4 linked regions of the Stegostoma tigrinum genome follow. The protein of the gene in region 2 purifies or fractionates together with the protein of the main gene of each other region. This does not show direct contact. Links are inferred from orthologs where the notes say so. Each region holds a gene or a part of one and is shown on either strand. Other genes may lie near its edges.

What was found.
Region 1: the proteins of ecd (region 2) and tssc4 purify together in Homo sapiens (affinity purification with mass spectrometry; 3 studies listed by BioGRID and IntAct, counting the BioPlex papers as one, with this or other methods). This does not show direct contact. The link is inferred for Stegostoma tigrinum from reciprocal best matches to the Homo sapiens genes ECD and TSSC4.
Region 3: the proteins of ecd (region 2) and znhit2 purify together in Homo sapiens (affinity purification with mass spectrometry; 3 studies listed by BioGRID and IntAct, counting the BioPlex papers as one, with this or other methods). This does not show direct contact. The link is inferred for Stegostoma tigrinum from reciprocal best matches to the Homo sapiens genes ECD and ZNHIT2.
Region 4: the proteins of ecd (region 2) and aar2 purify together in Homo sapiens (affinity purification with mass spectrometry; 3 studies listed by BioGRID and IntAct, counting the BioPlex papers as one, with this or other methods). This does not show direct contact. The link is inferred for Stegostoma tigrinum from reciprocal best matches to the Homo sapiens genes ECD and AAR2.

Annotation. Positions count from the first base shown.
Region 1 is NC_081370.1:15,500,959-15,508,762, reverse strand, and holds the start of tssc4 (U5 small nuclear ribonucleoprotein TSSC4), read right to left. Parts: upstream 3,019-7,804; 5' UTR 2,782-3,018; exon of another isoform or gene 2,758-2,781; intron 2,712-2,757; exon of another isoform or gene 2,503-2,711; intron 1-2,502. Other genes in the region: slc22a18 (solute carrier family 22 member 18), read left to right, coding at 3,211-3,318, 4,091-4,216. UniProt on the Homo sapiens protein: Protein associated with the U5 snRNP, during its maturation and its post-splicing recycling and which is required for spliceosomal tri-snRNP complex assembly in the nucleus.
Region 2 is NC_081390.1:21,632,306-21,639,189, forward strand, and holds the start of ecd (protein ecdysoneless homolog), read left to right. Parts: upstream 1-3,878; 5' UTR 3,879-3,998; coding exon 3,999-4,215; intron 4,216-6,765; coding exon 6,766-6,883; intron 6,884-6,884. UniProt on the Homo sapiens protein: Regulator of p53/TP53 stability and function. Inhibits MDM2-mediated degradation of p53/TP53 possibly by cooperating in part with TXNIP. May be involved transcriptional regulation. In vitro has intrinsic transactivation activity enhanced by EP300.
Region 3 is NC_081366.1:12,222,283-12,229,667, forward strand, and holds the start of znhit2 (zinc finger HIT domain-containing protein 2), read right to left. Parts: upstream 3,017-7,385; 5' UTR 2,923-3,016; coding exon 2,458-2,922; intron 636-2,457; coding exon 1-635. UniProt on the Homo sapiens protein: May act as a bridging factor mediating the interaction between the R2TP/Prefoldin-like (R2TP/PFDL) complex and U5 small nuclear ribonucleoprotein (U5 snRNP).
Region 4 is NC_081372.1:22,483,179-22,490,489, forward strand, and holds the start of aar2 (protein AAR2 homolog), read right to left. Parts: upstream 3,001-7,311; 5' UTR 2,887-3,000; intron 375-2,886; 5' UTR 366-374; coding exon 1-365. UniProt on the Homo sapiens protein: Component of the U5 snRNP complex that is required for spliceosome assembly and for pre-mRNA splicing.

The sequences.
Region 1 (7,804 bases), on a different chromosome or scaffold from region 2:
GTACCCATTTGAATTTAGAAGAATGAGAGGACACCTTTTTGAAACACAATATTCTTAGGGAACGTCACATGGTGCATGAGAGGCTGTTTCTCCTTGTGGGAAGAGTGTGGGACTAGGGGGCATAATCTCAGAGTAATGGGATCCCCACTTAAGACAGATGATGAGAAACTATTTCTCTCAAAGGATAGTGAACCAATGGAATTCTTTACTGCAGAGGACAATGGAGGCTATGTTGTTAACTATGTTCATGGCTGAGATAGGCAGATTTCTCTTCAGTAAGGAAGTCAAGAATTGTGAGGATAATGTGAGAAAATAGAGCTAAGTGGGGTTGATTATCACATCAGGGATTTATGTCGAGGAAGAAGACCAAATGTTCTAAATAGCCTGTTGCTGATCCTACATCTTCTGAAGTTGAACCTCATGGTTTTTATGTCTAAGTTCAAGTTGTATCAAGTTTGGCCGGGTTATTCTTGCAGCAAAACCAAGTGAGTTTTCTCATTAAATTGTACTAAACTTAACATGTTAATTGGCATTTCAACCATCACAGCAAAAATCCTGTCAGAATCCATCCCATCTCACCACGGGCTGTTCCATGGAGATCCTCCCTAAGACTAGCATCCCTTGTGGTTGCTCCATTTTCCAAAGCTATCCTGTCAGTCATTGAAGTCAGGAAAAATGTCAGAGAGAGGGAGGCTGGCCACCCTTCTGAGAGAAACCTGGGGGTCTTTGTAGATTGAATGGTCAACAGAACAGCAGTCCTATTCCCAGGTGACCAGCCGAAGAGGCCACACCACCACACCATGCCAGAATGGTCAGAGATCACCAGATAGTCAATGCTTTCTCCAAAATAAGCAGGACTGGCTACAGTGCTGCCGGAAGGTGAACAATCTCCTCTGCTCTGACAGGGTAAGTGTGGTGCTTTGTTCTTCACTACCTTACACTTAGCAGACACCCTTGACTGAGGACTGCTGCACAGCATGGCCACCTGACTGGTTGTGAGACTGTGTCAGCTGTCAATTCAAGGCACTGTACAGTAAGACAAGGAATGCCAGTAGGGACCAGGGTGATTGCACGTGAAGGAAGCAAGGGAGCAGCCATGGACGATAGTTTAGTCTACAGCACGGAATGGGTTCCTGTCTCTCAGAGGTACCTGCATCCAATATAGGTGTACAGTGCTGCCAGTGTGTCCTGGTAGATAAACCTGCATTTGAGAATGCCAGGATGGTGGCAATGGCACCCTGAAAGTCAAGATCTACTGTACACGATGGAAGGGTACATAAGGGTGGTATTGGTGAATTGTGTCCTAAGGTACAGTTTTTCTATGGGCAAAACATAGGTCTTTTGCAGCAAGTAATGAACTGAAGCCATCTAAACCTACTCTGGTCGACTTTTCATGACAGCTAGTTTGTCTGGTAAGATTGCAACTCATTGCTATTGATAAATGATTTAAATAATTTCACCATGTTGTTTGACAAGACTGTACAAGATGCAGTGACCTTAACATTGAGACGGCCCTCAAAATCTCACCCGATTCCAAGAAAGATCTCATCACAGCCTGATAAAATTCAACCAAATTTGGCATTAAAACAGTAATGGAACATTTAGAAGGTCACAGGCAGGTCACATTATTAGAGTTCTGCATTTGTGCACCAGGGCTGATTCCCAAGAATGAAAGAGTTCTATCACAGAATGGTGTAGTACTTGGGCCTTTAGTTATTGGCAACTTTATTGAAACACGTGAAGATTCTAAGGAGATAGTAGGAACTGCAGATGCTGGAGAATCTGAGATAACAAGGTGTAGAGCTGGATGATCACAGCAGGCCAAGCAGCATCAGAGGAACGGGAAGACTGACGTTTCAGAAAATTTTCTGAGGGATCTAGGCCGGAAACGTCAGCCTTGCTGCTTGGCTCGCTGTGTTCATCCAGCTCTACACCGTGTTATCTAAGATTCTAAGGAGGCTTGACCGGGTAAATGCTCAGTGGAAGAATCTGGAAAGGGCGGGGGGGGGGGGATTGTGAAGTTTACTCATGCTTGGATTTTTCTATGGTATAGAGCAATGGAGGCCGGGGCACTAGTATACTGAAGGCTAAATTAGACAAATTAGTAATCTACAAGGGAATAATGTGACATAGGCAAGAATGTGAAATTGAGCATCCAGATCAACAAGATATTACCGAATGGCAGAACTGGTTCGGGTAACCAAAAAAATATCGCAGCCCTGTTCGTCTTTCTAACGGCTCTCATTTGCATGTTCTGCTAATACTCACTTCTCGGCTCTGTTGTGAGCGATGTCACTTTGATAAAACGACCAAGAGTGATCAAAGGCGATGATGGCCTGATGTCTTCTACACGGAAATGAGTTAGCACTACAGTAATAAGTTATAACAGTTGCTTTTTACGCTAGATTTCCAGACTTATTTGTTTCATGAAATATTCATATCTCCGCATGAAGATTGCGCAGTGTGTTCTGCTACATCTTTCAATCATTCCGTAATACTCACAAATTCCGAGTGGTGGACAAGATATTGTCTAGCTCCAAAAGCACAGCGGTTCTTTGTTCATTCAGTTGTGACTCTGAGTCCATATCCCTCTAGTCCCGATAATAGCCTAATTCCCAGATACTGACTCCGGTCTCTGCAACACCTTCTACAGGCCCATTCACTGACAACAAGCGCGCCACTACCCTGGATGCGTGATGGGAATTGTAGTCCTACAACTCTCGCTTCATCCTCGAGAACTACAATTCCCATCATACCGTGCAAACCATCTCCAATACTCACCATGGTAGCAACCGGCCAGTCTGCCAAGCGACGGTGATGAGCAGTTGCTCTGACGAATTAAGAGCGGAGGAATTGGTTTATTCCAATCGGGGTGAGGGAGAAGACGGAATTTTTTGTTGCTGGGCCACTTGGAACGCTAAGTGCGCGCTAAATATTGCATGCTACTGTTGGCAATGGCGGGACGGATAGAGGGATATTGAGTTGTTGTGTAAGCCTTCTGGGTGCCCGCGTTGTGGGATGGTTAGTACCGCCCCTCTGCTTTGTCCTGTTGGTTGGGATTCCCACCGGTCACCTGGTGCTGTGTGTCGGTACGGACACCCGCCCACCTTGAATTAGATGTTTATTCAGCCAGGCTGATCATAGAGGCGCAGGAGTTTGAGGTGTGCAATCACACAAAACAGATAGGAATCCTGCCTGCGCTTGGAGATCATGGCAATTCCAGAGCAAGGCAGTAAATCGGGATTCGTCATCCTGATAGCTCACATCAATATGGCTCTATATTCCACTTGCTTCTGGATCCAGACTGGGGTCGTGCCTGTGAGTAGTAATCTGCCTTTTACTGATAAATGATAAGTTAAAATGTAGTGGAGTGCCCTCGATTGCGTAATGTTCGGAGCTTGTCATATTAAGAACGACAATTTAAAGAAGTCTGCTGAATCACGAAACGTTAGAATTGCCTTGTGTGGTCTCATTCTAAACTTCCTTATCTTTAATGTTTCATGATTGAACGGACTGTCTAAGCTGCAAAGAATTTAATAACGTTTTTAAACCTGGGCACTGATCGTTGCACGAGCAGGAAGTACCGCGAAGTTTATTGAGTAATGCATCAAGAAGTGATTGAAATTTATGTAATAGTGTAGTAAACCAAGCTGTTCGACCTATCGTTCTTGAACCGGCTCTTTGAAGCAACTAGCTAATTGAACACACTCCTCCCCACTCCTGTTTTATTTCTTACCACACAGTTTTCCTCTTCCCCCCCCTAACTGCACCTTGTAAATTATTATTCATCGGCACATTATTCCAAACAAGGCATTCCAGGTCGTAACAATTGTTACACAACGTGGGAGGAAATTATTGCTAAAAATGCTGGAGATCACAGCCGGTCAGTCAGCATCAGAACGTTAGTTTGCTATCTCGCCACGAATTCTGCCTGACCGGCTGTAATCTCCAGAATTTTTTTTTTGTTTTCAGTAACAATTGTTAACTTGGTTGAAAAGAAATCTCAGTTCTATGAGAAAATTAAAAAGAAAATTAGCGGATGTTGAAACAAAAACTTGCTGAACAAACTCGGGTCTTTTTTTCTCCACAGATGTTGCCAGACCTACTGAGTTTGCCCGGCAATTTCGTTGCTTCCTTCAGTGCTCCTTTTGGTTCTTTTGCCGATTGCCATGCTCTCTTTGAGAATTTCGCTGTCATTTCTGAGACTTATTTTATTGTAAGTTTTTACACTGCCAACGTTAGGTCGATGGGCTCTCGCATTGCAGGTCTAGTGATAATGGGAACTGCGGATGCTGGAGAATCCAAAATAACAAAGTGTGGAGCTGGATGAACACAGCAGGTCCAGCAGCACAAAAGCTGAGATGCTGCTTGGCCTGCTGTGTTCATCCAGCTCCACGCATTGCAGGTCTGTTCCCTTCCCATGTTTTGATTAATGACGTAATCTTTTTAACACCCCAGTCTTCTAGCACGTCCTCCATACCCAAGGAAAATTGGAATTTCTGGTGAGGATCTCTGCAAGTTATATTTTGTTTCTTTCAGTTGCCTGCAGGAGCGAAAGTAGCCCATTCAGCCTCTCGAGCCAGCTCTGTCATGTAATAAGATCACAGTTGATTTGACTGCAATCTTAAATCCACTTTCCAGCCTATCCCTGATAGTCTTTCACCCTCTTGCCAGCAAGACTCTACCTACCCCGGCTTAAAAATCTTTATGGACTCTGCTTCCATTGCCTCTCCAAAGACTGGTGACTCTGGGGGGGAAAGATGCTTCATCTGTTTTAACTGACTGACCACCTATGTTTAAACAGTGACTCCTAGTTTTAGATTCTCCCACCAGAAGAAACATCTCTACAACTACTCTGTCAAGTCCTTTCAAGATCTTGTATGTTTTGATCAAGTTGCCTCTGTCTTGTAAACTCCACTGGATAAAAGCCTAGCCAGCCAATATTTTCTCATTAGACAACCTGCTCATTCCAGGCACTGTACTGCAACGGGTCTAGTAACGGCTGCTCTCTGGTTTGTACCAGAATGTGCTGTTCTAAGAATTTATCCCCTAAAATATTCTATGACCTGTTCTTGGCTTCGTCTGCCTCTGTGACTTTTCTAGTCTGTATCTAGATTAAAATTTTCTGTGATTGATGCTGTGCTTTTTGGACATAGTTGTCATAATTGATGTAGTTAATATTAGGAGGCCTGTACAACAATCACGCAAGTGACATCTTGCCTTTACCATCCTTCATCTCTTGCCAAACCATTTTCACATCTTAAAATTGGTTATCCCTGTCTATTACCATCATTAGCTAACAGAGTCATTAGCTAACAGAGATACCAATCTTGCAGCCATCTCTCTGGCTGTCAGATTGTATCTATTTTGTGTGCATTTGCAGTTCAATTTCTGTTTATTTATTGAAAATTGTGTGCATTAGATAGTGTGTTTAGTTTTATGCATGTTTCTAATCTCCAGCCTTATCTGTTAATTCACTGTTAGATTTGTAGTCTCTACCATTTCTTGAAGAAGCCTATTTATCCTTTCTAAAACTGATATCATTTTTGTGTCGTGAGTTCATTGATCTAGATATATCCAAATTTGATCCCTTCCTCATCATTTTTTTAAGCACAAATTACTCTCTACTTCCCTAGTTACATGGCTCAAATAACATCAACCCAGTATGGTTCAGGTGGTTACCCTGAAGTGCTGATACTACTTTCCCCAATATTGATGCCAGCTTCCCATAGACTAGAACCCACTTGTCTGACATCACTCTGAGCCATGCATTCATCTTCTAATCTGATTTGTCTTGTACCACTTTGTATGAGGTTAAGGTAATTCAGATAATCAGATCCCTAAACAAAATGACTTTTCTGAAACAAACATAAACCAAACTAACTGGAGAAACTTAGCAGGTTTGGCAGCATCTGCTGAGAGAGAGGCGCAGTTAATGTTTCAAGTCCAATGACCATTGATCAGACTAATTTGTTCTAAAGAAGGGTCACTGGTTCTGAAAAGTTGACTGCTTTTTTCCTCCACAGATGCTGCCTGACCTCCTGAGTTTCTCCAGCTATTTCTGTTGTTCACACCAAGATGACTTTTCTACTTCGAGTACTGTCGACCTTTTAGTACTTCTGCTCTATCTACTTCTCTACTACCTCCACCTTTGACGTCAATAGTACTATTTGTGATGACAGATGGAAAGGCTTCAGAAATCAGAATAAGGGCCCTGAACTGAAATGTCAACTGTCCTGCTGTTGTGATGCAGCCTGGCCTGCTGAGTTCCTCCAGCTCCACAGTGTTATCTCTGACTCCAGTATCTGCAGTTTTTCTGAAGAAGAGTCTGGGCCTGAAATGTCAGCCTTCCTGCTCCTCTAATGCTGCTTGGCCTGCTGCGTTCATCCAGCTCTACACCTTGTTATCTCTACTTTAAAGGTAGCCTGTGTATCATAAAGCCAGGGAGGTGATGGCCTAGTGGCGTTATCGCTGGATTGTTAATCCAGAGACCCAGAAAACATTCCAAATCCTGCCACCGCAGATGGTGGAATTTGAAGTCAATAAATATCTGAAATTAAGAATCTAATGATGACAATGGATCCATTGTAAATTGTCAGGAAAAGCCCTTCTGGTAATGTCCTTTAGGGAAGGAAACTGCCTTACCTGGTCGGGCCTACATGTGACTCCTGGCTCACAGCAAAGTGGTTGATGCTTAACTGCCGTCTGGGCAATAAATGCTGCCTAGCCAATGACACCTTCATCTCGTGAATGAATAAAGAAAAAAAACACCTCTTCAATTGGCAGAGAAGAATGAGAGATGAAGAAAGACACCTTAGTAACTGCATAAACAGAACAGAGAGAGATTCTGTGATTTCAAATATGACACTGGAGACCTTATTACTAGAGACTGAACTGTGAGATATTAAGGAGACAGTGAAAACAGTCCTGAAGAAGGTCACTGGACTCAAAACATTAACTTTTTCTCTCTACAGATACTGAAGACCTGCTGAGTTTCTTCAGTATTTTCTGTTCTTGTAACCTCTGAAGCAGTGAGAGTGGACAGACATGAAAGTTAATGCCAAGAGTTTGACACCAAGCACTTATATACAGTTCTGAAAATCAAATAACTTGCGTACATGGTAAAAGGTAGTGGGGCAAAAATATTTTTACTCAACTGTTCAGACACATAATATGGCTTCAAGGCAGGTCGGACTTGAAACTGGACCTTTGGCCTCAGTGCATCTTCAGATGCCATATTCAATTAATAGTACTGCCAAACTCTCTGCCTATGCAATGCATAACATAATAATTACAAAGTTAACAGACAGGCATTCATGTGTTTCCTCTCACTACAATGCACCCACACCTCAGCTTCTAATATACTGTCAGCTATGAAAAGCATGTTACCTAAACACAGACACTTTGCTGTCTCTTACAGAGAAAGCTGACCCCTGATAGACAGCAATAGCAGAAAAACCAGTAGAGATGGATATGTGATAATGGGAACTGCAGATGCTGGAGAATCCAAGATAACAAAGTGTGGAGCTGGACGAACACAGCAGGCCAAGCAGCATCTCGGGAGCACAAAAGCTGATGTTTCGGGCCTAGACCCTTCATCAGAGAAGGGTGATGAAGGGTCTAGGCCCGAAACATCAGCTTTTGTACTCTGAAATGCTGCTTGGCCTGCTGTGTTCATCCAGCTCCACACTTTGTTATCTAGAGATGGATATGGTTTCATGTGATGATCCTCATGGGGGGAGACTGAGGATAATTGAAACATCCATCACTGAGTCCCTAGCCAGTGGCATTACTGTCATAGTTT
Region 2 (6,884 bases):
TTGTGTTTTTTGTTATGCACTGTTTACAAGGGTGACCATTAGTTCACAGTCTGCTTGAAATCTTTCGAACTTAAAAATCTGCAACCTTCAAAATATTGCACAAGGCGGCGAACAGAATCTGCTGCATCAGGCAGAATTGACTCTTTGATACAATTACTAGTGGCTTAAAATGGAGACAGTAAATACATTTGAGCCATAACATTTCAAACACGTATAATTATTATTGCGACCATTATTCCTGTCTCCCTCAATGCTGACTCTACCTCTTCCATACTATGATTTCTTAACCCAAGGAATCGCGTCCCTTTCTCTGTTCCAACAATTCTCTGAACTCCAATAACAACTATATTATATAAAACAACTTTTAGCTTATACAGACGCAAATTATTTAAATGCATTGTCCCTTTAAATAGCCCATTACAAATCCATTCGAAAATCTCTTACACCAGCAATAATGGTAACCAAACCCATTGTGAGGCAGAAGGGAGCTGTTTCAGCCCTTAGTGTCAATAACATTCTCAAACCTAAATGTCAGGCTTTGCTCAGATGGTAAGCACTATCCCTTTAATATTGAGATAAGAAGCTCAAGCCGCATTAAACAGTCCAATGTAGTTCAATTGCTGTTCGATTTTTAAAAAAGCTACTTGACAAAAGATAACACATGATCTAATCTTTATTTACTCAATCTAACACTTATTTACAGCATGAAAAAGTATAAGGTCATATCTTCTAACTCAACCATACCATAGTTTAAATAGGCGCCAGTTTATATGCACAAGTGAAATAGCTACTGAGCAAGTCTACACCTCAAAAGTGGCTGTAAAACACAAACCTGAGGGGTCGAAGGTGCTGTTATTTATGTTCTAAAACTATCCATGGTCGATGTTAAAGATAAAATATTGGGGCATAATGTTTTCAAAGCAGCTACTTAGTGTGCAAGCATCTCAATAGATAATTCGAGGTATCCTGAGATTATGGAAATGTGCTATATAAATATAAATACTTTTTGTTTCTGGTTGTCAATAAGCTGGATGCACTGTTTCAGCTGCTAATTAATGCAACAATTATTTTTACCACCTACTTCAACAGTGTGCTTATCAGCAAATTTGAGAGTAGCAATGACAACATTTGTACTGTTCTTTGCTACAAAACAATGCATTTCACAGACAACCTTTACGCAAGAAGGGAAATGTAAAGTATGTTTAAATTACAGATTCAAAAAGTAAAAATCAACTATCATAGCCCATTTATCGTCCTCCAACTAACTATTTATTTTGATCTGTGGCTATTATTCCTTACATGTAGTTCATTCATCACTCCTGCTGATTTTTCTTCTTTGAGAGAAGTTTTATTAGACACTCTGTCTTTGTCAGTGTGCTTCTAATGAATTTTTACCATTTCTCCTGGAGGATTGCCAATGCTGCCCGCACAAGAATCAGTCCCTGATAATTTATTGGTGTCCTGTTACCCTAACGAGGTAAACTTTTTTTTTGCATTATGGCAGGTTAATGTTTAAGTCACATTTCACAAAAATTCAACTAGGTTCTAATCGCCTATCAGCAGCATACCACCGGAGACTTGACTCAACACCAAATCATGCTCAATCCCTGCAAGGTATAAAGACAGTAACTCATCAATAAACAACTGGCAGCAGTGGATTTGGGTTCTTCTCAATTATCACAAAATATGTGAGCATGTCATGATCCGCCTGAATGTGGAGTGATCACACACTAACATGGTTCAATTACTTAAGTGCTTGTCTCTCTGCAAAACAAAGATTTTCACACACATATATTCTAAGTAATATATTCTCTTCTCAGTTGACTAAGCCAACATGTTTTTTTCTAAGCAATCTTATAAACATTAGCTTTCAGCATTGTAGAAACTAAACAGCACACCTTGCAACATTTTGATGTTCAAGTTCAATGCCACATAACAGGCATATCCACCTTAATCCAGATAGACTAACAGGAGGCTGGAAGAACACAGCAAGCCAGGCAGCATGTGGAGGAATGGAGAAGTCAACGTTTTGGGTATTACCCTTCTTCAGGATTGGATATGGGGGTTGGAGGAGGTGCAGATAAGGGGGATGGTGATAGGGGTATGGTGGCATTAGGTAGACACTTTCCACTCCCAAACCCTCTCTGCCTTCTGCAAAGATCATTCCCTTTGCCACTTCTTAGTTCATGCCACATTCCCCACCAACCACTCCAACACCACCCACTCCCCGCCGACCCCCGTATCTTTCCCTGTAACCATAAAAGGTGCAACACCCTGCCCACATACCACATCCCTCGTCTCTATCCAGGGCCCTAAACAATCCTTCCAGGTGAGACAGTTTTCACCTGTATCACCTCCAGCCTAGTCTACCGCATCTGGTGCTCCCAATTTTGGTGAAACCAAACATAGACTCGGTGACTGTTTCACCGAGCATCTCTGCCTGGCCTGAAACGGCAAGCCTAACTTCCCAGGAACCGCCCATTTCAATCCACCCTCTTCCCCTCCGACATGTCCATCCTCAGCCTCCTCCAGTGTCGCAGTGAATCAGAGCTCAGATTAGAGGAACAACACCTTATCTTCCACCCGGCCACCCTTCAGCCCGGAAGACTTAATATTCATTCTCTAATTTCAAATAACCTTCCAACCCATCCCCAAGCCTCCTTTCCAGCCCCACTACCTCCTCTCTATTCCACATGCCAACTCTCCCTTCCAGCTACCAACCGGATTCAGCACTCCCATCAACCAACCATACCATGCCTACTACCAGTGTCCACCTATCACCACCATTCCGCTACCCTCTCACCTCCCCCCACCTTTATCTGCAGCTACCCCCACTCCCACATTCAATCCTGAAGAAGGATAATGACGAAAATGTTGACTTCTCTTTTCCTCCAGATGCTGCCTGGCTTGCTGTGTTTTTCCAGCATCTGCAGTTTGTCTCTACCTCAATCCAGGTACCCAGCTAAAATATAAACATAGTAATGGTTGTCTACAAAGGATTTGTGATTATGTTCATGTCTTTGGCTTTTATCCAGGAGAATTTCTGGTTGACAGGCCAGAGTTGCAATTTGAACATTACAATCAAATCACTGCATTCTAATTCACCATTTAGAACTCTGATGAATTTCTTACCTGAAGATGTTCCCTGGCTACATATCACCGTGACAAATGCCATAAGAACAACAGACCTTTTAGCCTCCATGTTTAACAAATGCATGAGGGTCTAAATTTTGCTCTATGCTTTAAGAGGCAAGAGCAGAGTTCAGAGATTATACATAGGAAAAGTAGATACATAGCTGCAGGTAAAACTTAAGGAAATTACTTTACACAAGTACAATAAAATAACTATTAAAATTAATAAAGGTCCAGTGGCCACACCTAGTCCATAAATAAAATGCAAATAACTAGTGGACAGGGTCTGCAGTCCTGACATTACAAATACTCCTTCCACCTATGACATGCGCTCCATCAAGAAAATGTTCAATTGGTTAATATTTCTATTGCCTGTAAATTGCCCAGAGTAAATTGATAAGCACAAGATGGTGTAGGTTGGTCGAGAACTTTGCTGCACAATGTTGCATACTGGACAGAAACAGAGACCACATCCCGACATGATGTTGTTAGGATGAGGTGAGGTTCACTTGGCGGTTGTTCCATCTCCCACACACAGCTCAGACATCCCCACCTTCTTCCTCAACAGAACTGTCCTCTCTACCGTAGTCGGCAACTGATAACAACCCGGTAAAACTTTGGTTTTATTTTTAAGCAAGGTTTAAGACTAAAACATCACGTTACTTAATTTGAACAACATCGCGACGTCAGTGACAGAGTGGCGTCACTGAGACGGACCACGTGATCGCATTCTAGAGGAAGCCATTAAGTGACGGACCCGGTCGGTGGGGGAAGCCGTTCAGTGACGTTCCAGGTCGGGGGGAAAGCCGTTAGGTGACAGACCCGGTCCCGGGTGGGAGAAGGCATTAAGTGAGGGCTGACGGGCCATGGAGTCGCTGGTAGATGAGCGGCGTCGTGACTGGCCGCAGGACACAGTCGGCTACAGGCTTTATGAGATTGGCGGCGAGGCTCTTCAGTCTGATCCCGATCCCCGGGCCCGGTTGGAGCAGCAGTTGGAGAAGATCGTCGGCAGCCTGGCCCCGCTCTGTGCCGGTTACATCTGGCACAATGAGGCCTTCAGGCTGCAATACACGCCGGCCCGGGGTGAGTACACGGCCCCCTCTGGTATCCACGCATGCCTTTCTTCCCGTGCAAGCCAGTTTGTGGCTCTGTGCCTGAGCACTTCTCGTTATATCATTGTTAGAAGTTATATCATTAAATCTGATATCAAATGGTGATAAATGTAATTAGGTCACGCTTAATGGTACAATTCCATACACGTGCTAGGATGCAGAGCCACAGAAATGTGAATTAGCGCAGTGTGTAGTTGGAGGAGCACAGCAGGCCAGGCAGGGGACTCGGAAAAAGGGTCTTTTTCTGAAGAAGGATCCCGTTCCGAAACGTCAGCTTTCCTGCTCCTCTGCTGCCTGGCCTGCTGTGCTCCTCCAACTCCACACTGTTATCTCAGACTCCAGCATCAACAGTTCTTACTATCTTTAAATGTGAATTATATTTATTATAAAATAAAGTTGCCATAGACCTACGGGACCATAGGGTGGTAGTGGTTTGAAGACAACAGATGTTGGAGATCGCAGTGGCTCAGGCAGCATCCATGGAGAGAGCAGCTAACGATTCGAGTCTCGATGACTCTTCAATGGAGCTGATGTGAAATGTGGACGGAGCTGCATTTGTGCTGTAGTTGGTTTAACCTGAGGTCACCATGCCCCATGCAAAGGGAGACATTGATATGAAGACTCCTTCGTTGTAAACTCAGCTAGTTAGGGAATTGAAGCTGTGCTGTTGGCATCGCTCAAGATAGCAAACAGCCATTTGTCCAACAGAGCTAACCAACATGAATGTCTGTAGAGGAGAGAGAGATAATGGGAACTGCAGATGCTGGAGAATTCCAAGATAATAAAATGTGAGGCTGGATGAACACAGCAGGCCAAGCAGCATCTCAGGAGCACAAAAGCTGACGTTTCGGGCCTAGACCCTTCATCAGAGAGGGGGATGGGGAGAGGGAACTGGAATAAATAGGGAGAGAGGGGGAGGTGGACTGAAGATGGAGAGAAAAGAAGATAGGTGGAGAGAGTATAGGTGGGGTCTGTACGCTCATTCACTGCCTTCAACACTTACTCCCTCTATCCACAGTGACAGCAGTACCAATGTGAATCATCTACAAGATGGACAGTATCAATCCATCTGTGCTCTCCCAATGGAACCTTCCAAACCCAGTATCTCTACTATCTGGAACCAGCGCAGTGATGAATGGTAGGGAGTCAGTTAGTTTAGCAAACCAGTAGTTTATGATGCAAAGTGAGCCAACAATGTAGGTACATTTTCAGTTTCAGCTGAGGTTGTCATTAGGTCCCAGTGGTTGGGCAATCTTATCTGAGGCATGGTGACCCTCAGGTTAATGTCACCAACAGCTCTCTCCCTCAGATGAGAGAGCACCTTACTATCCTCTGGGACTAAGATGACTTGGGAACATTGCCATTTGCAAGTTTTCTGAATTACAGTACCGTTAAGTCAAGATTGTAGAGCTTCTTCCCTAACAGCACTGTGAGAGAACTGCACAATATGGACTGCAGGTGTTCAAGGAGGCACCAACTTAGAGGGATAAGTAATAATCAGCTTTTACATCTCAAAAACATTTTCTAAAGATTCCCATAGGAAGTTAACTACAATAGAAATTCCTTCAGAATTTTCCATCTAAGCTGTCAAGTGAACAGTGTGTGGAGGTTTGGTGATGGGCGGGGACACTGTAGAGACATCACTCAATGAGAACGACCCCTGTTGTGGCAACAATCTGCGTGTCAAGCCTTTGAACATGTGATGGTTGTCTTGCTGCAGTTACTGCACAAGGAAGCTGGTGCTATCCATGGGATTACAGATGTTTTTAATTAACCTTTCAGACATGTTATGACCCGTCTGGTGCAAGTGGGTCTTGAACCTGGACTTTTTCACCCAGAGATAGGAATGTTACCACTATCCCACAAAAGCCCTAAAGTAAGTGATGACAAGTAAGTTAGGATGGCATGGTGGCTAGTGGTTAACACTGTTGCCTCACAGTGCCAGGGACCCAGGTTCGATTCCATCTTTGAACAAATGTCTGTGTGAAATTTGCACATTCTCCCTGTATCTGTATGTGTCTCATTGCTCCAGATGCTTTGGTTGCCACTTGCAGTCCAAAGATGTACAAGTTGAGTAGATTTGCCATGCTAAATTGCCCTGTAATGTCTAGGAATGTAGAGGCTAGGTGGCTTAGCTTTGATAAATGAGGAGTTACAGGGATAGGTTGGAGAGCTGCATTTGGGTGCGATGCTCTTTGATGGTTCAGCGTAGACAATGGCTGAATGGCCTCCACACTGTGGTGTCAAAGAGAGATGAAAATTCTGCCTCATTTTAGACAAATATACAACGGTACAGAGATGAAAGAAACTTATAATCTGAGCTCCTGAACTAAGCTTGTGTGACAGTGAATTGAACAATGTTCTGTCATTTGTAAATTCTTGTGATTATGCCTTTGCTATGACTTGTACTCTGATTTATCAGGAGTTGTTTTTGTTTTGAGTCTAAACCCTGCTGATCTAAGCCGATTTAATGTACCATTGCTTAAATTTTAAGAGGCTAATGCAAATCTTTTCTTTTTAGGAGATGTTCCGGCTCACGTTGGTGGTGTCACAAACTTTGGTGATAATGTGGATGACGAATGGTTGATTGTCTACCTCATTCAACAAATCACCAAAGAGTTCCCAAACTTAGTGGCAAGG
Region 3 (7,385 bases), on a different chromosome or scaffold from region 2:
TTATCCTGATGCTCATTCACCCAGGACAGAAGGAACGCACACTTCTTCTGAGCCCGGTAATGATCAGGGTCCTTCTTATGTCGAGATCGCTTTGCTTTTCCTAGTGCCCGATGAAGGTGGGAGATTGCAGCCAAAGTGTAATGACCGTCCAATGTCCCGTTTCCTCCAGTTAACAGGACAGATGTGTCCTTGATTGTATTCACTGGCTCAAAGGGATTAGAAAAATACAAGCTGTTCCGCACTGCTCCAACCCCAGACTGCACAGCCTCTGCAGTAGACACAAAAACACGATTGCCCTTCAGGGCCTCAGAAACTGTCATTGTAGCTTCGATAAACTCGTCCCTCATTGGTCCTGATAAGTCCCCATTCACCAGCTTCATGGAGAATGCATATGCATACAGAATGTTCACCACACTGTATTGGATCAGGGGAGAGGCCTTTGAACACAAACTGAGCAAAGGAACAATGTTACTACAGATTGCAGGAATAGAATCATCATGTTCCCAGAATCTGTCTGTTGCTAGCTGTTCTGTGAATGCATCCATCTCTGAATTATTCTCACTCCCAGTTCCCGCAACATCAACCATAGGCTGTGCTTTATTTATCTTCTCACATCTTTGATCTTCTTCCAGCCCCTTTTGAAGAAAATAAAACAATTTTTTTTATAAATAGTACTGGTAAGTGCTCACTAGCTCTCAGTACTGACTCACTAATACCATTCTCACTGTTGAGGATAAGTTCATGGTTTCAAGTTCACGCCAGAGAGTTTAGTAACATTCCTCCATTGTTTTGCTGTGTGCAACATTTTCAATCAAGTGTACAGGCCTTTTAATGGCCTTATTCAGGATCAAGAATCATTGAATCCTACAGTGTGGAAGCCAGCCACTCAGCCCATTGAATCCACACCAACCCTCTGAACAGCATCCTGCTCAGACCAACACCCCCATCCTATCCCTGTAATCCCCATGGCTAATCCATGTCGCCTGCACATCCCTGGACACTATGGGTAATTTAGCATGGTCAATCCACCTTACCTGCACATCTTTGGACTATGGGAGGAAACAGGAGCGCCACGAGAAAACCCACACAGAAATGGGGAGAACGCGTAAGCTCTACTCAGTTGCTTGAGGGTGGATTTGAACCTGGGTCCCTGGTGCTTAAGGCAGCAGTGCTAATCGCTAAGCCTTGTGCCACCCCAAGGGAGAATTGAACTTGAAAGTAATCTCTAGGCCAACAGCGAGGTGTACTGAAGAGGTGCTCCACTGTCAACGGGGCAAAACTAAGGGAGTGCTGCACAGTCAGAGGGGTATTACTGCGACTGTGTTGCAATGTCCAAGTTACAATAGTAGGGGAGTGATGCTCTTGTGGAGGGTCACTACTGAGGGAGCACTGCACTGTCAGAGGTGCAGTACTGAGGGAATATTACAATTTCAGAGACAAACTAAAGCTTCTGCTCTCCCTAATGGATGTAATACATCATATTCCAGAGAAAGAGTACTTTCTTGGTATCCTGCCATCTCCTGGAGGCCACTTAGCATTAGAATGAGACTCTGACAGTGTGGTCTCAATTCCAGCATGTTGAAGTTACCGTCAAGGGATCTCCTTCTCAATCTCTCCCAGACCTTCAGGTTAAACCACCATCACTTATGTCGTTCTAATGAAAGCAGCATAATGGTCTGGTATGATTTTAGCAACTTTATCTTTACCATTCCTGATAGGTATGGGCATGAAATGTCAATAGATTTCTCAGTAACTTACATTTCTTGCATCTTCATCTTGCAGATAAGAGCCACAAGAGCCACCTTTTTATTCATACATGGGCATGTGGGCATCATTGGCAAAGCCAGCACTCATTGCCCATCCCTAATAGCCCAGAAGTCAGTTAAAGATCACATGTAGGCCCAACTGGGTAAGGACAGTAGCTTCCAGATGTGTTTTTCCTGACAAGTGACACTGTCATGAGGAGGGGTCACCGGACCCAAAAACGTTAACTCTGTTTTCTCCTTCACGGATGCTGCCAGACCTGCTGAGCTTTTCCAGCAACTTTGTTTTTGTTTTTGTTCCACAGTCATCATTGGATTCACTACCTGCCAGGAACCTGGGTTCTCCGAATGTTACCTGGGTCTCTGGATAAATAAAAAACTGGTGATAACAGCACTAGGCCAACTAAATACAAGTTCACTGAGATCAGGTAAGTCAGCCTGACTTCCGGACTCCTTCCTGTGTTTTCTCAAGGAACATGCCCTAATTTTTTTTTTAAAAAATGACACCAATTTATCCTGAAATTCTTAAAACTCAAAATTACTTTAGTTACTGTCCCCAGGGTCCACCTAAGAGTGAAAACCAGGGGGCAATTCCCCCAGGGACAGGTCCCAGCTCCTATCCCCACTGTAGGGGATGGGTGAGAAATGGGAGCTGTAGATTGACCTCCCAGACACTTGCGGCGCTGTTTCTCACCGAGGGCACCAGCTCCTGGACGGGGCCTGGGGGGCGCCGATCCCACCACGGCCTCCACTCCTCGACCCAAGCCGCGGCCTGGCCGCTCTCCAGGAGCCGCTGGAAGTCGCGTCGCTCCTCCTCGCTCAGGGAGTTCCAGAGCCGGCTGGCTGTGCTGCCAGGCTGCGGGTCGTCCGGCTCCAGCTGCCCCGGTTCCCAGGCCTCGGTCTGCCGCAGCCGCCTCAGGCTCTCCCGCAGGTCCATCCGACCCTCGGCGCCTCCCGCCCGCCGGCTGTCCTCCCGCAGCTCGCCCAGCACCGCCTCCCGGTAGAAAGACTCGGCGCACGCCCGGTGCTTGCGGCCGCGGTAACAGGGCAGTGAGCAAAATGGCACATTGCAACGGGGGCAGGTGTAGCGGGCGGCGGCCCCGCTCCCCGAGCACAGGCCACAAGCCTCGGCCTGGCGTACCGGGCCCGCCAGTGACATCGCGATGGGTACCGGCGCTGCCGTAAAGCAGCGCTGCTCCTTTGCGGCAGTAATGCTCCCAGTCTCGGAATAGGGGACTTCCAACTTCACGTCAGTGCCGTAATCCGAAAAAGGGTGGCGATGGGGGAACAGTTACCCTTTGATACTGTGGCACTCCGACTCCCTTGGATAGAAAATACAACAGGTCATGTTGAATGACAGATAACTACCAAATAGAAAGCGCTGGATAAATTCAGCAGGTTTGCCAGCATCTGTGGAGAATAAAAGTGTTAACACTTTATGACCAGCGACCCTTCAATAGAATTCCATAGTTTATTTTTGTCCTATTTTGAATCAATTCCTAAACTTTGCTTGAATTTTAACCAAAGCTTTATCTCCAGTGGTCAATCTTAACAGACTTAACATGATTTAAAACAAACAATTTCAGATTCCCAGAGAAACTCAGAAGGTTGACAGACTCTAGGGCAAGAAAACAATTAATATTTTGCGTCAGTGATAATGGGAACTGCAGATGCTGGAGAACCCAAGATAACAAAGTGTGAGGCTGGATGAACACAGCAGGCCAAGCAGCATCTCTGGAGCACAAAAGCTGACGTTTTGGGCCTAGACCCTTCATCAGAGACGGGGATGGGGTGAGGGTTCTGGGATAAATAGGGAGAGAGGGGGAGGCGGACCGAAGATGGAGAGAAAAGAAGATAGCTGGAGAGGAGAGTATAGGTGGGGAGGTAGGGAGGGGATAGGTCAGTCCAGGGAAGACGGACAGGTCAAGGAGGTGGGATGAGGTTAGTAGGTAGGGGATGGAGGTGCGGCTTGGGGTGGGAGGAAGGGATGGGCGAGAGGAAGAACAGGTTAGGGAGGCAGAGACAGGTTGGACTGGTTTTAGGATGCAGTGGGTGGAGGGGAAGAGCTGGGCTGGTTTTGGGATGCGGTGGGGGAAGGGGAGATTTTGAAGCTGGTGAAGTCCAGCAGGAACAGCAACTCATATTCCGCTTGGGAACCCTGCAGCCCAATGGTATCAATGTGGACTTCACCAGCTTCAAAATCTCCCCTTCCCCCACCGCATCCCTAAACCAGCCCAGTTCGTCCCCTCCCCCCACTGCACCACACAACCAACCCAGCTCTTCCCCTCCACCCACTGCATCCCAAAACCAGTCCAACCTGTCTCTGCGTCCCTAACCTGTTCTTCCTCTCGCCCATCCCTTCCTCCCACCCCAAGCGGCACCTCCATCCCCTACCTACTAACCTCATCCTCCCACCTTGACCTGTCCGTCTTCCATGGACTGACCTATCCCCTCCCTACCTCCCCACCTATACTCTCCTCTCCACCTATCTTCTTTTCTCTCCATCTTCGGTCCGCCTCCCCCTCTCTCCCTATTTATTCCAGAACCCTCACCCCATCCCCCTCTCTGATGAAGGGTCTAGGCCCGAAACGTCAGCTTTTGTGCTCCTGAGCCTGCTGTGTTCATCCAGCCTCACATTTTATCTTTAATTAATATTTTGCACTGTGAACAGTCTGAAAAAGGGTTGCTGTACTTGAAACGTTAGCTCAGTTTTCCTTTCTTGCTACAGCAATTTGTTTTTATCTGTCACTTTGTTAGAAGTCATAAGACACCATATTATATTTCAAAGGTTTATTTGAAATCACAAACTTGCAGTGCTGTTCCTTCATCGGGTGATGTGGAAGGAGCTGTAATCTAGCATCACAGCAGTACTGAAGTTCACATACCAGATTACTCATTTGTGTGAAACAACACAAGAATTAGGAGCAAGAGGCAATAGACCCTTGAGCCTGGTCTGCCATTCAATATGATCATAGCTGATTTCATCACAGCTTTAACTCCACTATTCTGCCTCCTCATCATAACCCTTCAACCCACTTCCACCATGTTGCAGCACATTTAAGACCATAACTCAATGCTTTAAAATACAAATCCTGTCACCTCTGGATCCTTTGCAACCCTGTTTCCTTTAGTTACTGAACTGCTTTCCACTCAAAATTAGTTAATTAGTTAAAATTAGTTAATTCCACTTCCTCCTATCAAAAACCATTCATGATTTTGAATATCGATATGAAAATACCACCAAGCCTTCTCTTTAAAGAAACCAACCCCTGCTTCTCTAAACAAAATAACTGCAGATGTTGTAAATTTGAAACTCAGCAGATCTGGCAGCTTCTGAGGAGAGAAAGCAGAGTTAACATTTTGATTCGATGGATGCCAGATGTGCTAGATTTCTCTGAACTTTCCATATAGTTAAGTCTATAATCGTTGGTAATGTTATCTCCTCTGCATGGTTGTGAAGGTCTTCACAGCCTTCCTAATATGCAATGCCTAGAGTTGGACATAGTATAAAATACTGAGTGAGATCTAGCTGGAGTAAAGGTTAATTCAAATTCCTTGTTCTCATTCCTTCCTGTATTAATAAATTTGAAGTTCTTTAAACATAATATGCCCTGTCACTTAAAGATTTGTGTACATACACACCAAGGGCTCTCTTCCTGTATCCTCTTAAAAATTGTGCTACTTATTTTAACTCTCCTCCCCCTCTGTACTAAACCTTATTGCTTCACCAACACAGTACATTGTGACACTTGGGATAAACCGTAACTCGCCCTGTGGTCTTCTGGGACTTTACCATTACATTGGGACTTTGATATGGTATATCACTTGCCCTGAAATACCAGTACCACTAACTTCTCTCCTATTATGACTTCTATGGAAAGAGTAGCTTCTTGAAGAGTGGCTACCTTGAAGGATTTTCTGTTTAATTTGAGGTATCCTGGTTCTATGCAGACTCTTTTGCCTGGTTTGTATGCAGATTTCATCCTGTCCATGGGCACACAGGAAATTTCTCATGGCAACAAAAATAGCTCCTCATTGCCCAACACTCACCTTCTCCACCTTATTGATTAATGTCCCACACTTCTCTCCAATCACTTCACCAACCTGGGTTCTGCATCAACAACAAACTTGACATGACACCAATGCAAAGCAGTTGATACTAATGTAGGAATGTACACTAGAAGCCATAATGTGTGTGTTTTGGACACACGGCTAAGCTTTTACTCAATGAACTTGGATTTCTGCACCTGGACTAATAACCCACAGAGACAAGTTTAAAGCCCATTATCCTTTCATAGTAGAGAGGGTCGAGATGAGGTCTTGGTTTAACGTCTCATCCAAAAGACAGCATATCTTAAGAGTGCGGCATTCCTACAGCACCAAGCTAACAACGCAGTATTCCCTCATTGTTACACTGAGGAGATGCTGGCATCACTGGCAAGGATTTGCTGCCACCCTTAATTGCTCCCAAGTGGCATGCAACACTATTTCAGTAGGCAGGTTAAGAGTCAATCATATTATTGTGGGCTTGAACAGAGAAGAAGCAGCAAGTGAACCCTTTAGGTTTTTCTGACAATGATAAATTTCACAAATACTGAAACTAGTTTCTATTTTCGTAAATTTAATCAGCCACTGTGATAAGATTTGAACCAGTGCCCACGGTATTAGCCTGTTCTTGTTTACTAGTTCAATTATGTGAAGTAACCATTTCCCTCATCACGGACAGTTTCAAAGTTTGGATTTAGTTGTTTAAATATCTGCTGTCTACAAAAAGTTACCACAAAGTGATCACGGATCACTTTTAAAACCCCACCAAATGTTCACAATGGACATTTAGGGAAAGACATCTGCTGTCCTTGCTCTGCCTGAGCCTGTGGGTAATTTGGAAATAGTTGTGGATTGAAGTCCCACTTCAGAGACGCTAGGGTAATAATGAGGGAGTGCTGCACTGTTAGCAAGGTGTTCTGGGAGCACTATAGTCTTTTGGACAAGATGTTAAACCAAGGTCCCATCTTTACTCCCTCCGCTAGATGTATAAATGTTCACTTCCACTATATAAAGATGAGCAAGGGACTGTTCTCTGGTGGCCTGGTCAATATTTATCTTTAAACTCACAATGCAAACAATTTACTATTTCATAGAAGATTCACTGACTGATACCTTGAATCATCAGCAGACATGGTGTCTTAAGGTGAAAGGGTGACTGGTCTATATACATTACAGTTTAGAAGAACAAGAGTTGATCTTAGTAAAATGTCCTGACAGAATGGATGCTGACAGAATGTTTTTCTTCATAGAAACAAAATAAGGAGCTTCCCATTATAGATGGAGATTAACAGCAACATTTTGAGGGTCAGCAATTTGTGCCAGTTGCTTCTCTAGTGTGATGGAGGTGGGGTCATGGATTACCTGTAAGGCCTGTAGATTCTTTACTCATGAGTGTTGACAATTGACAGGAATGTGGATTGGAGGCTAGAATCAGATCAACTATAATTATTAAAGGATATCACAGGCAAGAGTTTCGGATTATGGGGTGAATGGCCTAATCATACTCCTCATCCGTATGCTATTTGTGGGAGGTCTCTATGCAAAATTGATTGACAAGTTTCCTGAGTAATTACT
Region 4 (7,311 bases), on a different chromosome or scaffold from region 2:
AAACATTTGTCCAGTTCAGTCAGATTCTCTCTTATCTGCTCTCTTTCTTCTTCCGAAACTGCAACTGAAACTATTTCTTCTTCCTTCTTGTCCCATCGCTTCACTAGAACTTCCTTCTGTTTTATATGAAAGAAACAACCCGTGCGTGGTCCTGTTATCCGAATATCTCTGCTGTTCACAGGGCTGCAATGCATAAAATGGATTCCCGGTGGGATCATCTTCACTCCTTTAAATTTGGGGCCCACTTGCCAACAATTATAATCAATGCCAAATTCTGTGCCCTCAGGAACACCAAGTATTATAAGCGTGCCTCCTTCAAAGAACAGTTTTTTCGCCAGTTCTTGATCCATTTCCACAGTAGCCATATTTTGGGCCTGTATTCCAAAACAGACAGAGAAGAACTTAGTTAAACATCACATCAACATCCAATTTACGTAAACTACTAAGATCTTACATTATAGAGAACTACGGCCATTAACGGCATTCAATATTGCTTGTTACATAGCACCTTAAGTTACCACTATTATGAGCTGGCATTAATTTTGCTTTAGGCAATTTTTTATTTTCATAATTCTCAATTCCACACTTTAAAGTAATCCTACCCATTTTGTTCCACAACCTTCATTCACACATGGTTACCTCAAAAATGAATTTCTTTCAGCTGGCCTCTCTTCACAAAATTAATCTAGTATAAATTAGCTCCTGCGCCACATAAATAGCATCTTATCCATTTTAACCTCACCAGATCCCTGCCACTTTCTATCTTACCTAATGGATTTTGTCCCTTTATCAAATTCTTCCAAAGCTTTCCTCCAGCCTGCTTGGGAAATATCCACTAATTCAATATCCTTGCCCACATCATTTGCTCCCTACCTAGATTCTTGTTCATTCCCCACACTCCTCACAGTAGATCAGTGATGGCTTTTGTTTACTCTGAAACTCCTTTGCCATTCAGATTCTTTTTCTAAATCAGTCTCAATTATTCCCACCTTTCATCTTTAAAGCATCCTTTGAAAACTTAATGAATCAAACAATGCCTTTGGTTAGGCCAAAGCTGATCCCATTTCAAATTCCTTAACAAGTTGTTTTGAATCCATAGCTCTATCAGCACTAAGATGCTGCAGCATAACTGCACAAAGGCTGCATGTGCGTGTAAGATGTGATTCAATTCCTAGGGACAACATTCTGAATAACTTTACAGGCAGAGGCATTAAGCAATCTGACATGCTTCAATCTGTTCTTTTACACAAGAATGAAGATCATCAATAAATTAAAACCGACATTTTTGTGAAGATAAATGAACTACATAGACTGTGAAAAAAACATTATACTTTGGTTAAAAGTTCTATCAAAATTGCTACTGCTCACTGATGCCAAAATCATTTCAACAAATGGCTAGCTACTTGCTTAGAGTACTTATGCAATTAACTAACTAGGAAAGACCATAGTCACTTGCATGTTTATTCCTCTCAGGCAGTTTGCTGAGAAAGGTCAGGTAAATTGCAACCATGAAAACAGAATACATACATTCATTGATATTATTAAGAAAGCATAAACGCAACTGCTAAAACACACAACCAAATTATCAAAGACTTTATGAAGTGCTACAGGGCATACAAGTAGTAGATTTTGCCAAGCCAAAGGCAATAAAATTCCACAGAAAAATATCCTGATGTTGAATTAGGTAGCAAAAACCTATCATAGTTGTGCAAGCATTTAATTACAAACCTATAGTTTAACACCAACAGTTCTTTATCCAGAAACCAACTATCCACTTTAAGATGATAACATGAAGGAGAAGTAGGCCATTCAGCCCATCAAGTCTGCACCATCATTCAACAAGACCATGGCTGATCTGATAATTCTCAGCTCCACTTTTCTGCCTTTTCTCCATAAGGTATGAAAAACCAAGCTTTTTGTTGAAAAAAAATCAATCTGTTCAGATATGTTAATGACACATCTCAGGCAGTTGAGCCTTGAACCCAAGCCACCTAGCCCAGAGATACAGACACTACACTTTGAACACAGGACCCGTAATAAGAATCCAAGCTCTTCTTTTAATATCTGGAATTATCACAGACAACTGAATGTTTTTCTTTCCCACCACCAAATCACCTGTGAGACCTTCCACCCAATATCCACCATCCCTAAGTTATCCTTGTTTCCAGTTATTCATTCAATGTGGACCACCAAAGGTGAGACTGGTAGAGAAAGACCGAGAGGCTAAAAGAACTAAGCTCTTAAAGACAAAGAACACCTACTGTCTCAATGTACTCTAGAGTTATTTCAGTTTGCCCCTTAAATGGACCTGCATTTCTAACGCTATCAAATAAGACCTGACTCACGATATTATTCACAATGTGGCAAGCCCTAAAAATAACAGCAATTTAAAAGAAATACAGTAATTTAAAAATTCAAACTAAAGCAGGGGGTTTAAGGGAACAAATTAAAATATTTTGGCCATATTGTTAGGATGAATAAGACTGAACATGTCCAACAACTGACTGGATACTCCCACTATCATCACTGGCTAGAGTCTGGGAAAAGGAAAGAATAGATTAGCTCAGACATTTATGCTGAATCTGAGTTTGCAATTAAAACTAAATCCCTCAATCTAGTAACAAGAAGATAATCTGGAGCTGTACGAATTGTTATGAATTTCTTGTGTTTTTCTTAAAGTCACTATTTATGACCTTTATTACAGTCTATTATGCTGTAAAGGTTTAGTGAAAGCTGTGTCTAATGCAGTTGATGTTAGGCGCCTCCCCTCCCTCACACCCACCTCTCACATTCTTTCCCCCCTCACCCACAGACAGACAGACAGACAGACAGACAGACAGAGAGAGAGAGAGAGAGAGAGAGAGAGAGAATTTGAACCCCATTCACCTTCGTTCATTCAGCCCTGAGCTTTAATTCCCTGCGATACCAACCGGCAGACTGCTGGAGCAACACCAAATACATACCGGACCCCTTCCGGTCCGTCAATGTAACCGTCCCCAGCCGCACCAGCACAAACCGGTCCCTGAGCTTATGGTTCCGCCCCTGACACTGCCCTCACTCTCAGCTCATGCAGACCTTCCAAGTCAATTCGTTTCTACAAGGAATGAAGGTGATGTTCTATTCAGCGCCTTAACCCCATTGTAAACCAAACTATTTAATCTATTGAATGGAAATAAAGTTTTTTTTTGTTTTATTATCTTCCCCCCATGGAAACCACTCGTTCAAAGTTCTCTCCAGGCAAAGTATTATTGCACTAAGTCTTTTATTTGAAGGTAATATGGTAATATTGAATAAATAACGAATACACTTCTCAGGAAGAAGAATATTGCAGCATAATGGTTGAAAAACTCCTTTAATGTAACACCTCAACAGCCTGTATCCAGGATATTTAACACACAGTCCTGGCCTTCCTTCTGCCAGGTCACTGTTACTGCCACAACACCACGATTCCACATGACAGCCTGCACTTGTAACTCACCGATCTTTACTTAAACCAGCTCTTCCTCCCAATTCTGATACCGACAAACTTCATAGACGTGCCTATTTTCCCTGTTGATTGTCCCTATATTGTAAGCTCCTCAGAGCTAAGCTCTTCCTTCAGGCAGAAGATACAGAACCCCGAACACACACAGCAGATTAAAGAATATCTTCAGCCCTGCTGGTATTTGACTGCTGAATGGACCTCTTTAATTTCAAATCTAATGTTGTCCTTACTTTTGTGCACCTTTGAGCAGTTGTAACTCTAAGCGCCCTATGATTCATTTGTCCTTCTTTGTTACGATCTGCCTGTACTGCTTGCAAAACAAATCTTTTCACTGTAATCAGGTCCATGTGACAGTAATAAATAAAATGCTTGGGATATTGCTTTAATCCAATCTCGACACCGCAGTTGTTAAATTATTGAGAGTGCCAGATTGTGGCGGGCATTAATGATAGGAAAATTCTAGACAAATCACCTGAATATGTCCAAATGAAAACTTGTGACCCATTTGCTGCAAAAAATCAAAATAGATTGTGTTCTCTGTTAGGGCCTTTCAAAGAACCTACCACTTTACTGGTGTTGCTGTTTGCACAACCTGACTAGCTTTTGATCTTCCATAGGTCTTGTCCATCCTAGAGTGGCTGATCATGTCTGACCCTACATCAATGTATGGAGAATGTCAGTATACTGTTGGTCAGCATGCTGCACCAACATTGAATCCAATCAAGGATAACAAGGTGTAGAGCTGGATGAACACAGCAGGCCAAGCAGTATTAGAGGATCAGGAAGGCTGACGTTTCAGGCATCATCCTCCAACACATCCGCCATTTGCAATCCGACCCCATCACCAAAGACATTTTTCCCTCCCTACCCTTACCTGCTTTCCGGAGAGACCACTCTCTCCGTGACTCCCTTGTCCTCTACACACTCCCCTCCACCCCCACCACACACGGCACTATTCTCTGCAACCGCAAGAAGTGCTACACCTCCCCCCTCACCCCCCGTCCCAGGCCCCAAGCAGACTTCCCACATCAAGCAGATGTTCACCTGCACATCTGCCAATGTGGTATATTGCATCTCCTGTACCCGTTGTGGCCTCCTCTACAACAGGAAAACCAAACAGAGGCTTAGGGACTGCTTTGCAGAGCACCTACGCTCGGTTCACACTAAACAACTGCACCTGCCAGTCACAAACCATTTCAACTCTTCCCCCTCCCACTTCTCAAACCACATGTCCATCCTGGGCCTCCTGCAATGCCACAACAATTGCAGGAAGAGCAACTCATATTCCACTTGGAACCCCTGAAGCTCAATGGTATCAATGTGGACTTCACAAGCTTCAAAATCTCCCCTTCTCCTATCGCATCCCAAAACCAGCCCAGCTTGTCCCCACCTCCCTAACCTGTTCTTCCTCGCACCTATCCCCTCCTCCCAGCTCAAGCCCCACCCCCATCTCCTACCTACTAATCTCATCCTGACCCCTTGACCTGTCCGTCCACCCTGGACTGCCCTTTCCCCTCCCTAACTCCCCATCGACAGTCACCTTTACTGCCTCCATCCCTGCATCTTTGACCTGTCTGTCTCCTCTCCACCTATTTTCTCCTCTATCCATTTTCTATCCACCTCCCCCTCTCTCCCTATTTATTTCAGAACTCCCTTCCACTCCCCCATTTCTGAAGAAGGGTGTTGACCCGAAACGTCAGCTTTCCCGCTCCTCTGATGCTGCTTGGCCTGCTGTGTTCATCCAGTTCTACACCTTGTTATCTCAGATTCTCCAGCATCTGCAGTTCCTACTATCTCTGAATCCAATCGACACTGACACGACAATTTCTGCCCCATCATCTTCAGTTCTTCAGCTGAAATTCCACTTTGTGTTCTTGCAGGTCTTAACTGGTTTGTAATGTGAACATGCATTTCAGCTTTCTCAACAACATGTCAGGACTTTGCACAGGATTGATTTCAAGATTTCAGAAGAACAAAGTAAACATTTGAAAAGATATTCACTCTTACTATCTTATTGTTTTTTTCAAATTTTCTAAATAATCTTGGGCAGTTTATTTTTTGCATTATGGCCTGTCTTTAATTGGTTTATTTAACAATTGGCATTAACACAGAATAGCTGAAGTATTAATGCCTTATTCAGGACAATTAACAATTATGTCACAATTATTGTTTGGTCCAAATAAAGCATGCAGTATTAATAGACTTCAATGGATTAATGGAAAATCTTAATTTTAATAAACCATTATGTCCACAATTTGTTATATACCCCAACATAGATGTTTTGTGTAATGAAAGGGAGAATCAAGCTCAAATAAAAGAGCCTTATGAAACATTTTCATGAACCTGTAATAATCCCTAATATCTCTTTAATGTATTGGGATGGATGCTGTTATCAGCAGTGCAAAGCTGGTAGCACTTATGTTGCCAGTGCTCCCGGTCATTTGCTTGAGTAGTCTGAATACAAGGCAAGCATAACATAAACTATCTTAGAGGGTCTCTTGTGGTACATTGGTAGTATCCGTATAACTATGCCCAGAAGGTCCGATTTCAACACCTACCACAAAAGGCGTCTCATAAAACATCCAGAGATAGTGGGAACTGCAAATGCTGGAGAATCCAAGATAACAAAGTGTGAAGCTGGATGAACACAGCAGGCCAAGCAGCATCTCAGGAGCACAAAAGCTGACGTTTCAGAAGGGTCTAGGCCCGAAACGTCAGCGTTTGTGCTCCTGAGATGCTGCTTGGCCTGCTGTGTTCATTCAGCTTCACACTTTGTTAACATAAAACATCCAAACCGGTTGATTTTAAAATAAAACCATCTTGGGTGCAAAGGCTGTATTTGTGGCACTGCCACCACTAGGTGGAGGATTGCACCTGCATTTGTAAAATTAGAGCACCTCTTGTTGGGATCACTGTATCCCTCCCCCTCTGAATCTAAGGACATAGGCCAGTTCATTTTTTTGTAGCTTCTCCTGAGGCATTTTAGCGCCAGGTCAGGTTCCACTGACTCTGTCTTAGATACAGGTGGCATGTGATGCACAGTAACACGCCTCTTGGGCCTGGAGAACCTTGGAAGAAATTTACTCTCCTATTGAGGCAGCAAAGACTTTGAGGTGGTGATATCCACCTTATCCATCTCAGATTCCGAAGAATCTTCAATGCTTGATGGACAGGGAGAATCTGTGGGTTCCTCCAGCCTTTCTGCCTGTTCCCAGGAGGCAGGCACATCTTGCTCCGTTTTTGAGTTTGCAGCTTTCATACAGTCCCCATATGTTTGTTCAGGACTGTTGCACCTGCCCAAAGTTTACACATCACTGGACCTGACCTTGCATCGACCATGCCGCTTACCAGTGCAGGACCAATCCTGTATCTCCTACTCCAAACTTCATCACCTGAGGTAAACTTCCTCTCTCGCTTAGCAGAGTCATGTGTCCAGCGCTAACATTCCTGATGTCATTTCACCCTCCCTCCCGGATCCGGGTGAATCAAATTTAACCTGGTATGGAGTCATTTTCCCATTTGCAACTCTGCTGGAGCTATCACTGTAGTTGCCTGAGGGGTAGACTTATAATGAAATAGAACAGGAACAGTTTGGTATTAAAACAGGCTAATATATCTGCCAGTGGGAGGCAGCTCAATGCACCCGCATTTGCAACTTCGCCTCCTGGTCAGTGTTCCAACTTGTAATTATATGCACTTAGTATTAGAGCCTAATGCCGAATTCAGCCTGAAGCTTTGGGCGGCACTGCCTTGTCCTGTTTGTTAGACCTACCAGGGGTTTGTGGTCTATTATTATTAGAACCTTACTTCAGTAAAGGTATTGGTGG